3 linked regions of the Xenopus tropicalis genome follow. The main gene of each other region encodes a partner of the protein of the gene in region 2 in a complex. Links are inferred from orthologs where the notes say so. Each region holds a gene or a part of one and is shown on either strand. Other genes may lie near its edges.

Region 1 (3,755 bases), about 13 Mb from region 2:
CAAGCTGTAAAAAAAAAAAAAAAAGGAACAGATTGTGATATCCGAGTGATTATGCAGGAACAGAGCCCAGGCAAAAGAGGCAGAAGTGCCCTGTACTTTATGCATACAGTAGGAATTGTTAGAGAGGCAGAAGTGCCCTGTACTTTATGCATACAGTAGGAATTGTTAGAGAGGCAGAAGTGCCCTGTACTTTATGCATATAGTAGGAATTGTTAGAGAGGCAGAAGTGCCCTGTACTTTATGCATACAGTAGGAATTGTTAGAGAGGCAGAAGTGCCCTGTACTTTATGCATACAGTAGGAATTGTTAGAGAGGCAGAAGTGCCCTGTACTTTATGCATATAGTAGGAATTGTTAGAGAGGCAAAAGAGAAAGGCGCTGTGAATAGAGGCCTACACATCAGTTATTTATTCCTGTAGAATATCTACCACTCCTACTTACTGATTTCAGCCTGGTCACCTTCGAAGAAAGATTTTCTGACAGCCGTTTGTTCTCTGCATCCAACATCTCATCCACTGCTCCTGAATTTGGCCCTGTAAAAAAAACAAAGAGCAACTGAATGGCAGGTTTTTCTTTTTTGGAAGGGGAAGGGACAGTGGTGCCGGCCCAACAACGCGGGGAAGGGACAGTGGTGCCGGCCCAACAACGCGGGGAAGGGACAGTGGTGCCGGCCCAACAACGCGGGGAAGGGACAGTGGTGCCGGCCCAACAACGCGGGGAAGGGACAGTGGTGCCGGCCCAACAACGCGGGGAAGGGACAGTGGTGCCGGCCCAACAACGCGGGGAAGGGACAGTGGTGCCGGCCCAACAACGCGGGGAAGGGACAGTGGTGCCGGCCCAACAACGCGGGGAAGGGACAGTGGTGCCGGCCCAACAACGCGGGGAAGGGACAGTGGTGCCGGCCCTGAATCACGAGAGTGGAAACTAGAATGAGACTGTCAGGATGTAAGAAGGGATTTCCAGGATGCCCGACTGCTGTCTCACCTAATGCACAAACACATCCCCAGACTAAAGTCCTCATGTGTGACGTGCATTTAACATAATCAATAAAGCCAATTTCAATATATATCAATATATATCTGGCCATGGCAAGGCAGATCCTAGTGCGATATGGCCATAGTCACATATGGGCAGAGTTTCTCTGGGCCTTTTTGCAATATACATTCATTTCAGAAACCCCAGGGTTAAAAGAAACTACAAATGCATAGACAGTCAGGGCCACAGTCTTTTCGGGCATTCAAAGAGAGCTGATGAGCCGAGGTCTTCCTGGCAGCACGTATCTGCTACTGACTCACAAACCATTAAAACTAGAAAATCAATGCACACTGCAAAAGTGCTCAGAGACTGCTAAGTTTATAGCAATTCCCCTTCAAGGAGCCGACTATAACGCACTAAGAAAGTAACCTGGAGCCCTATGAAACCCTCCCCCACCCCTATTATGTCTGAAATTATTACAACAGCCCCTCAGATATCAACAAGAGAAGAGAGAGGCACCCAAATGTGTGCTTATTATAATATTATTATTATAAGTACAGGAAATCATTGCTTATGGTGCCGTACCCACGCACAACACTAATACACTTCCCCAGCCCAGTAACGAGCAGAGAGATCTCCAACTCCCCTCACACTGGGGACTGCTGGTACAGACTGCAACACTATACAGACTGGTACAGACTGCAACACTATACAGACTGGTACAGACTGCAACACTATACAGACTGGTACAGACTGCAACACTATACAGACTGGTACAGACTGCAACACTATACAGACTGCAACACTATACAGACTGGTACAGACTGCAACACTATACAGACTGGTACAGACTGCAACACTATACAGACTGGTACAGACTGCAACACTATACAGACTGGTACAGACTGCAACACTATACAGACTGGTACAGCAACTGGCAACACCTATACAGACTGGTACAGACTGCAACACTATACAGAACTGGTACAGACTGCAACACTATACAGACTGGTACAGACTGCAACACTATACAGACTGGTACAGACTGCAACACTATACAGACTGGTACTGGTAAGACTGCAACACTATACAGACTGGTACAGACTGCAACACTATACAGACTGGTACAGACTGCAACACTATACAGACTGGTACAGACTGCAACACTATACAGACTGGTACAGACTGCAACACTATACAGACTGGTACAGACTGCAACACTATACAGACTGGTACGACTGCAACACTATACAGACTGGTACAGACTGCAACACTATACAGACTGGTACAGACTGCAACACTATACAGACTGGTACAGACTGCAACACTATACAGACTGGTACAGACTGCAACACTATACAGACTGGTACAGACTGCAACACTATACTAGAGACCCCCACGACTCTCTAATGACTCCTAGAACAGTCTCAGTCTACACAGAGTAGAACCCCCGCACCCTGAACACTGTGTAGTACAGAGTATACAGCACATTCCCATACTGACCTTCCCTAACAGAGAAATCACCCACCAAAGGCCTTCAGAGTACTTCCCCATACAGCCCCCATGGAGACCACCCCTAGCATAGAGCCCCACCCAGGACAGAGTACCGCCCCCAAACATTAATTCCAGCATAGATTCCCTCTCAGTTCCTTTGCTTTACGCTTAATATCCCAGAGCGAATCCCACGCAAACACCTTCTCTGTTTGCCAGGCCGCTGCCCCCACTCTCTCGGCATTCAGGGAGCACTGATATCCTACATAACACACGTATTTATCTCACACAAGCACCCTAGACCCCAGTACCTCTGCCCCAGTCCGCCATCTTGGATTCTTCTAAATGTGACGCGGCAGGATATTACACGTCACTAACGTCACCCTCACAGCCACCAATACGCTTCAACCTTGCGTCAGTGCGTCAAGAAAGGACGGACTGTCTCATTAAGCCACGCCTATTAATGTTTAGGCGTTCGCTGTTGCCATGGAAGCAGTTTATCCGAATTATCCTAATATAAAAAAAATAAAGTGAAACGTGCACTCCTTTTGCTTCTCCTACTTTGTGTGTTGTGGCTAGCTCCGCCCCACATGGCGAATCTCTTGGGGGATCTTGGGATTTGTGGTCCAACAAAAACAGTGGAAGCAGATTACACATTACAGCTCAATACTCCCCCCACATATTCTCCAATTTGGAGCCTCTCTCAATGTAGTTTGTGACAAAAAAGGCTTCCAGTGCTTTAAGGAATGGCGACACCAAAAAATGAAAATTATTTCAAGTAATTAAAATATAATGTACTGTTTCCCTGCACTAGTAAAAGTTCTTTTACTTCATAAACCCTACTCTAGTTTATATATACAAAGCTGCTGTGTAGCCCTGGGGTTATGGTTGCCACCTGTCTGGTAAAAATGATGCTTAGTGCCAATGTTATTATTAGAAAAAAAAGATAAAAATATAGGAAGGCCGGTATTTATTTTCAGAAAAGGTGGCAAAAAAAAAAGAGGACAAAAGACAAAAAACTGATAAGCTCTCTAGAATACAATGGGAAACTACACTGCTTATCTATTATCAGCTGTGTAACCTGTGTCAATTAGGGCTCTTGCACACGGGGAGATCAGTCGCCCGCGACAAAACTCCCTGTTCGCGGGCGACTAATCTCCCCGAGTTGCCATGAGCGAACATGTGAACATGTAAGTCGCCGGCGGGATGGCACACGCGGCGGCGCGATTTCACGAAATCGCCGAAAAAGACTCGCGAGGTGACTAATCTCCCCGTGTGCCAGAGCCCTTA
Region 2 (3,655 bases):
CACAATTTCCTAGAGTGATGTTAAGCAAGGAAGACTACAAAGATTATGAAGAAGACAATAAGTATGAGGAAAATCTTGATCATAAGCCAGCGGTTCGATGTGACAGATTGGAAATACTTCAGGATCTCTTGATGGGCGCCCTCCACGTTTAACTGAGTGTCTTCTACATTTCCATCAATCCTGAGAAGGTAGAATTGAGCATAAAGTGGAAAAAGGTTAGCACCCAGGATACTAGATAAGAGTTCACAACAAGAAAATGAATAAGCATGGAGTAAGCACTCACCTTTGTATAGTCTCTTCCTGCTCCTTTACCATATGAGCCAGCTGCTGAAATATGGATCCCAGTTCTACTATTGTAGATTCTATATTCTGCATGGTGTCTGCTCGACTTTGGATGTATGAGTCCTAAGGGATAGAGACATCTATGTAAACTTCCACTGTATGTTTCCAATTAATATTTTAAAGGGTTTAGCATAATCTCTCTGCTGGTACCGTACATGCAGTATATAAAATGAAACATGTATAGCCATGTATGAAGTTTATTCTAAAAGAAGAATTTTCTCAACATTCTTTTGTTTCCTGTAACGATAGTATGGAGGACATAAAGTAATGGCAGCTGTCCTACCACATGAAGTACATTTTTAAAAATCAGTAGTTTTGATATAGTATGAGCTACTGGAAATGATTAAATTATCCTTTAGGCCTAACATAGCAACTTGACAATGTTGTTTTAATTTTTATTATCAATCTCTCCCTTCCAAAATTCAACTATCTTTGGACATAGCAAAATTAAATGAAAGTGTTAATACTCCATTCTGGGGGGACAGAATGAGTAGTTGCTGGTACAGGTATTGTAAGTGTTAACCAGAAAGGCCATCTCTCATAGACTCCATTTTAATAAAATATTTCACATTTTTAAAAATGATTTATTGTTTCCCTGGAAAAATAAAACTGTACCTTCTACTTTATCCTAATTAAGATATAATTAACCCATATTGAAGGCAAAACAATTCTATTGGCTTAATTAATGTTGACATTTTTTTTAGCAGATATAAAGTATAGAGATCCAAATTACAGAATGACCCTTTATTTGGAAAACCCCAGGTCCCAAACCAGTATAATCCTCCATATTCCAGATTAATTAATCTAAAACATAATTCTTTCCAGTCTTCTCAATTAATGGTTTTATTATTATTAGAAATTGAGTGAGGACACGTCCTAATTTCTAAGGTCTGATCTTTCCTTGGAAAAACATAAAATAAAAATCATAACATTTAATACTTGCAAAACTCCCAGGGATTTGGTATTATTTTGTTTTATTCTCTTTTCAAATAAAATTATATGGGATTTACTATTCTGATAGGTCAGTGCTCTCCAACTGGCGGCCCGCGGGCCGCATGCGGCCCTCGACCCCCCTCTGTGTGGCCCCCCACCTGTCTGGCTGCTTTGATGGCTTAAAATGGTATCAGTACTAACCTTAACTGGCCCCCTGCATAGTTATCACCTCAGATTCAGGCTGTAATCCCTCTGTATTGTTTAAAAATGTAATCCCCTGTGTTGTTCACACCTTTTAAACTCTGTATTGTTCACCCCCTGCAGTGTTCACACCTCAGGCTCAGGCTGTAATCACTCACATTGTTCACCTATTCACACCTCAGACATTGTATGTACTGCCTGGCCTATGCTGCCTGTGTATAGGCAGCATAGGGTAGGCAGAGTGTGGCACATAGGCAGCATAAGGCAGGCAGAGTATGATACACACAGGCAGCATAGGAAAGGCAGAATGCTGCCTGTGTGTGCCATATTCTGCCTACCCTATGCTGCCTGTGGGAGGTGAACCTGGCAGGGGTTTGTTCTGGGAGTTTGTTAGCAGTTGGAAATAGCCATTAAATGGTCCCTAAGGTGTGTAATTATATTCTGGGGGTTGCTGTGCTATCCATAGAGGAGGAGGCGGCATATGGATTTAAGGGTGTGTCTTAATATGACATAATATAATTCTTTAACATATGAATGATGGTTGATATCCCTGCAGCGACCATTGTGATAAAATGGGTGTGGTTTGAAATGGGGGAGTGGCCAAAACTGGCTTCCATTAGCGGCCCTCCACCATGTATTCGAGAGAAATTCCGGCCCTCGGCACTGCAGAAGTTGGACAGCACTGTGATAGGTGGTTTCACTACTATGTTAGATATAATGAAAATGGAGGCACTGCTCTTTTATACCATTTAAATATGGAATCTGCCATTTCTGGGGGGGATTGCCCTTGTTTAACAGAGCTGGAAAAAATTCTGCAAAAATGTCTGATCATGGGAAAAATATGCAGTTTAAAAGGAGGTGAGTGTTTTCTATTAAGGTATACTGATGGAATATATTAGCTGCATATTTTCGCTCCTCACCTGCTCATCAATAAGCTGCAGCTGCTGACTAACTCTGGAATCCATTTCTATAGTCACATCTCCCTGTCTGCGAGAGTCATCCTGAAGAAGAACCGAGGGACCTATGGTGACACGACATTGAGTGAGAACACTATAATGCTGATACATGCAGGAATTTTTCAGAGAGAAAAATCCATATGAAAACTACCATAGCAATATCAATACAGAAAAACAAAGTGTACAATAATAAAAACTGGTAAGAAAAAAGACCTTGTTCACCCTGCAGACTCATGATTTAGCCAAACCAAATAATTTTGACAAGGTATATGAATACCAGCCAGTTTGTCTCTCGTAAAAAACATATTCACCAAGATCTGATCAATGTTAGGTCCTCTTTCCCAGAGGAATCACCATATCTTTGGAAAATAAACAAACTATAAAGTCTGAAGGGCAAACAAATGAATGGTTGGACCACTGACCTGATACAGAACAGTGACAGCAGACAAAAATGCATGTAGTCAGTAAGGCACAGGATTACACAACACACACTCTACCTAGGCTATTATGATGAAGTGGGAGTGCCACCTGGCCTTGAGAGAAGTGTTCCCTTCGACTCCTCTGTTGCTTTAGGTTCTGTGGAAAAGATGCATGTGTTAAACATGGGATTTAGGGATTTTCACCCTCAACCTATAACGCTTAACTAAAGTACTTTACCTCTGTCCTAACTTCCAAAACCGACTTGAAATCATTAGACATTGATGCAAGCTTTGACTGAAAGAGAGAAAAATAGTTTGATTAATTAGAGATGAACCTTACAGAAATGTTTAACATGGCTTCACAGTAGCAGGAGGTGTAAGCCAGCAAGTCTTAAAGAGTACCCAACTCCCATTTATTAACCCTTACCTGCAGGGAGACCACAACCGTATTTGAATGAGTCTGAAGATGTCGCCCACTTTGACTGCCACGAGCACGGACAAAAGACTGGAGCTGAGCAATCTGCTGGTTCAGACTTCCTATATCCTGCAAGTGTTCCAAGAAAAGTATGTTCATAGTCAGCATTGGTACCCAACCAGTTGCTCGGGAACAAAATTTTGCTCACCAACCCCTTGGATGTTGTTCCCAGTGGCCTTAAAGCAGATGCTTATTTTTGAATTCCTGGCTTGGAGGCAAGTTTTGGCTGCATTAAAACCAAAGTGTACTGCCACTGTCAAAGCCTCCTGTAGGCTCCAAGCCCACATAGGAGCTACCAAATAGCCAATCATAGCCCTTATTTAGCACCC
Region 3 (3,655 bases), on a different chromosome or scaffold from region 2:
GCCTGGCATCATTTCAGACACAAATGCATACAAACATTAACAACGAGGGCCTGTCAAAAAAAAAAAATTAACATAATATATATATATATATATATATATATATATATATATTTTATGAGAATACGTTTTCTTTCTGTTGATCAGAAGTGCCTTAAAGATTTTTGACATTTCTGGGAAATATTAGTCTATCCCACTACTGGGTATACAACGATAAAAACAGTTTCTTGGAATGAGAACAAAATCTTAATACATTTTAACAATTTAACATGAACTACCGGAAAATGTGTGTCTAAATGAGGCACATGGAATTGGGTATGGCAAACAGTATATTACAGTGGGTCAACCAACCAAAGGTGCCAAATGACACACATAATCCAAAGCATCCAATGCAATATGCCCAAATGGCACCAGCCACAAAATGAATATTTCTCTAAGAACAGGGTTAAAAGTGAAAGGAAAAAAGTTTTCAGTTAAGACTAAAAACGCAAACTCTTTGCAGATACAAGTCATGGAAGTTAATGAGTATTATCAGTGGCACAGTACTGACAAAAAAAAAAATCAACAAAAAGAAGAAATGCCGATCTGTATTCACCAATTTCTCTTCCAACTCACTGTCTGCACAAGATGATGCCGCACACTCCTCCTTTTCCCTTGTATATGTCGTAGAGAGATACAGTAGAAGTCCACTAGGGATGGAAGGATGAGAGAATAATGAAGAGGATAAGTCATCGCGTCCAAGGGAAAAGGCTTCTTTTTAAAGTCTCTTTTCTACAGGATGCTACACATGTGAAACAGTAGTGCACTATTTTCCTCATTCTTGGACAATCCTCATGCACTAGAAAACACTACTTATTCACACAGCTTGGCCATGACAGTCCCCCACATGCTGCTGACACAATAATGTAGATGATAACCTATAGGAGAAGGGAAAAAAAAAAAAGATAAATACATTTTGCATAATAAATACTTGACTATTTGCCCACATCTAGTAACCCATAGCAACCAATGTAAAGTAATGAAAACCCCTATTACGTTGCATTTACCAAACCACTTTAAAAGCAACAGCAAGTGAGGAGGAGAGCAGCACTTACTATGGTTACAATAGCAATTATGATGGTCAACTTCAAATTTTTCATGCACATAGCTCTGGCCAAGTTTCTGCTTGTGGTCTTGAACGTGACAGACTTTAAGAAAGTGATAAAGAATAAAATTTAGTCATCAACATAATTTGAACACTAGCATTTTATAAAATGAATAAAAGGACTAAGAAATCGACATAATTCCAGTAGAGAAAACAATTTTAAAAACAGTACCAAATGCATACTTACAGAATCAACAAGGCTTTCTGTTTTATCTATCAGTAGCTCTAACCGTTCTCCTCTTTGGGCAACCAGATCTGGAAATAAAAGGCAAGGTAAATCTGTGTCAGAGAAGTGACAGTTTTCAGGCTCCAGTTTTAGGATCAAACATAAATGTAGATTCCAAGTGTTTTGTCACCTGCCCAGCTGGAAATTGCAGGGACAACAAAATGCCCTGAAGTGCTCCAGGTGGCATTGCCCTTTATATGAATAAATTACTTTAATTTACTGTTCATACTGGTCAGCCCAAACCTGGCCAACTTGTGCATCACTAACATACAGGGCAGAAATGCAATTTTAAAATGTGTATAAAGCATATCATAACGCCCACATTTTTTAGGACCCAGAAACCCCTGCTTGTGCCACTGGCCTCAAAGCCCAATAACAATGTAAACAATGTTGATTTGTCTCCCAGGGTTTTTTTTTTTTTGTTTCCTCAAACATGTAAGCAAAATTCTCAAAAATGGCATCTGTGCCAATCTCCTAAAGAACAGCTTATAGATTAAGCAAGATTAAATTAGTGCAATGAACTATGTCCAACTTATGTTGAGTCCCTTATCCGTATTATTAGATTTAAATCCAGCGAGAACATCATCTGCAACAAGTCTGCATATTTTCCCTGTGCTTGTGTGGAATTCCTCCGTTTCTCCAGTTTCCTCCCACATTCCAAAAAAGACAGAAATGTTATTTGGCACTGATTACAGTGTGTGAATGCTAGGGACCTTGGACTGTAAAATCCCCTGGGACAAGGGACTAATGTGAACAATGTAACATCTCTGCAAATAACTGTCAGCACTATATTATATGAAAATGGATATACAGTAATAATAAAAACATTAGAGCAAACATGTCTGCAGTTTGTACTTACCTATATTTCGGACCATAATTCCTTTAAGTTCATCGACTTGTGCTTGGGTCTCTGCTACACGATCAATACTCTTATTTTCAGAATGGTATTTCTAATAAAAGATAAGAAATATGTATTATAAATGCCCTGTTAAAAAATGTAGTCCACATCATGACTAAATATGTACTGTGAATGGATAGGTGTTTACTTTAAAGCCATACAGACTAACTTCTTATCACTTTGGTTATTATATTAATATATGCTTGCCCAAAAAACACATGTAATACCTTTAGTGTGAATACCTACAGCATGCCATATAAGAAACTTCTTGTACAACTTTGATACTTTGTTATAACTTTCTGAATGGTACAAATATAATTATGCCCAAGTCCCTCTGAAAAAGTTAATGTAATATTCAGCATTTGCAGACAGAAAGAGCATCTTCAGCTGTGCAAGAAGACTTATATGGATGGACCACCATGTATTGTAGTGCAGTCATTTCTAATGATTTTGATAGTAACGGATATCAGAGATACTCTCAAGAGTTTCCTGAAAATCTAGGCACTTTCACTACCTGTAGTGTACTGGTAAGGGACCTGTTACCCAGAATGCTCTGGACCCGGGGTTTTCAAGATAAGGAGTATTTTGTAATTTGCATCTCCATACTTAAAATCTACTAAAAAACATATAAACCTTAATTAAACCAAGTAGGATTGTTTTGCCTCCAACCAGGATTAATTATATCTAAGTTGGGATCAATTAAAGGTACTGTTTTATTATTACAGAGAAAAAGGAAATAATTAAAAAAAAAAATTAAATTATTAGTTTAAAATGTGGTTGATGGCCTTTCTGTATTTCAGAGCTTTCTGGAAAATGAGTTTCTGGATAAGGGATGCCATCCCAGTACTCTACAGAATTCCTCATCCATAGGGGATCAGTCTCCTATCTAGCCATGACTTGACACAAAGAACTATTCTAAAAATTACCCGAAAGGCCTTCTGTACAGGTTAACTCTGCTGAAAATGAGCAGCTATAAATATTTGTTTTAACAAAGTGTCTATACAATTAACTTACTAACACATCACCTTTGTGACAATCAATCAATCCAATTTTTGTGTCTAGTCCCGAAAACATACTAATTACAAAAAAAAAAAACACCACAAGGATCAAGGAATGTTCACACACTTGTGTCTGTTGTGAATCAAGATCACATGTTACCATGTGACAGGCTTAGAGAGATTCTATTCATAATCAGTTAATGCTCTCAAGATAATTAACTGGATATCTATAAGGCACTGTGTGAAAGGCCATTTGCTTGCAGCTAAGCAAACCCAGGTACTGCCGCTTTGCTTTTCAAATTTACCTTCAATGTCTAGTTAACATTGTAAATGGTACACAGATGTTATTCATGCTGTTTTGCAATTGGTCTTTATTCTATTTTCTGTTATTT

The links.
Region 1: stx5 (region 2) and bet1l share a complex: the UniProt entries of both Homo sapiens proteins name them as parts of the SNARE complex. The link is inferred for Xenopus tropicalis from reciprocal best matches to the Homo sapiens genes STX5 and BET1L.
Region 3: stx5 (region 2) and vamp7 share a complex: the UniProt entries of both Homo sapiens proteins name them as parts of the SNARE complex. The link is inferred for Xenopus tropicalis from reciprocal best matches to the Homo sapiens genes STX5 and VAMP7.

Annotation. Positions count from the first base shown.
Region 1 is NC_030680.2:24,002,382-24,006,136, reverse strand, and holds the start of bet1l (BET1-like protein), read right to left. Parts: upstream 2,889-3,755; 5' UTR 2,796-2,888; coding exon 2,777-2,795; intron 2,540-2,776; exon of another isoform or gene 2,478-2,539; intron 533-2,477; coding exon 441-532; intron 5-440; coding exon 1-4. UniProt on the Homo sapiens protein: Vesicle SNARE required for targeting and fusion of retrograde transport vesicles with the Golgi complex. Required for the integrity of the Golgi complex.
Region 2 is NC_030680.2:36,546,001-36,549,655, forward strand, and holds part of stx5 (syntaxin-5), read right to left. Parts: intron 3,396-3,655; coding exon 3,279-3,395; intron 3,147-3,278; coding exon 3,090-3,146; intron 3,009-3,089; coding exon 2,930-3,008; intron 2,498-2,929; coding exon 2,397-2,497; intron 406-2,396; coding exon 284-405; intron 181-283; coding exon 21-180; 3' UTR 1-20. UniProt on the Homo sapiens protein: Mediates endoplasmic reticulum to Golgi transport.
Region 3 is NC_030684.2:65,382,544-65,386,198, reverse strand, and holds part of vamp7 (vesicle-associated membrane protein 7), read right to left. Parts: intron 2,318-3,655; coding exon 2,227-2,317; intron 1,397-2,226; coding exon 1,329-1,396; intron 1,185-1,328; coding exon 1,092-1,184; intron 915-1,091; coding exon 846-914; 3' UTR 1-845. UniProt on the Homo sapiens protein: Involved in the targeting and/or fusion of transport vesicles to their target membrane during transport of proteins from the early endosome to the lysosome. Required for heterotypic fusion of late endosomes with lysosomes and homotypic lysosomal fusion.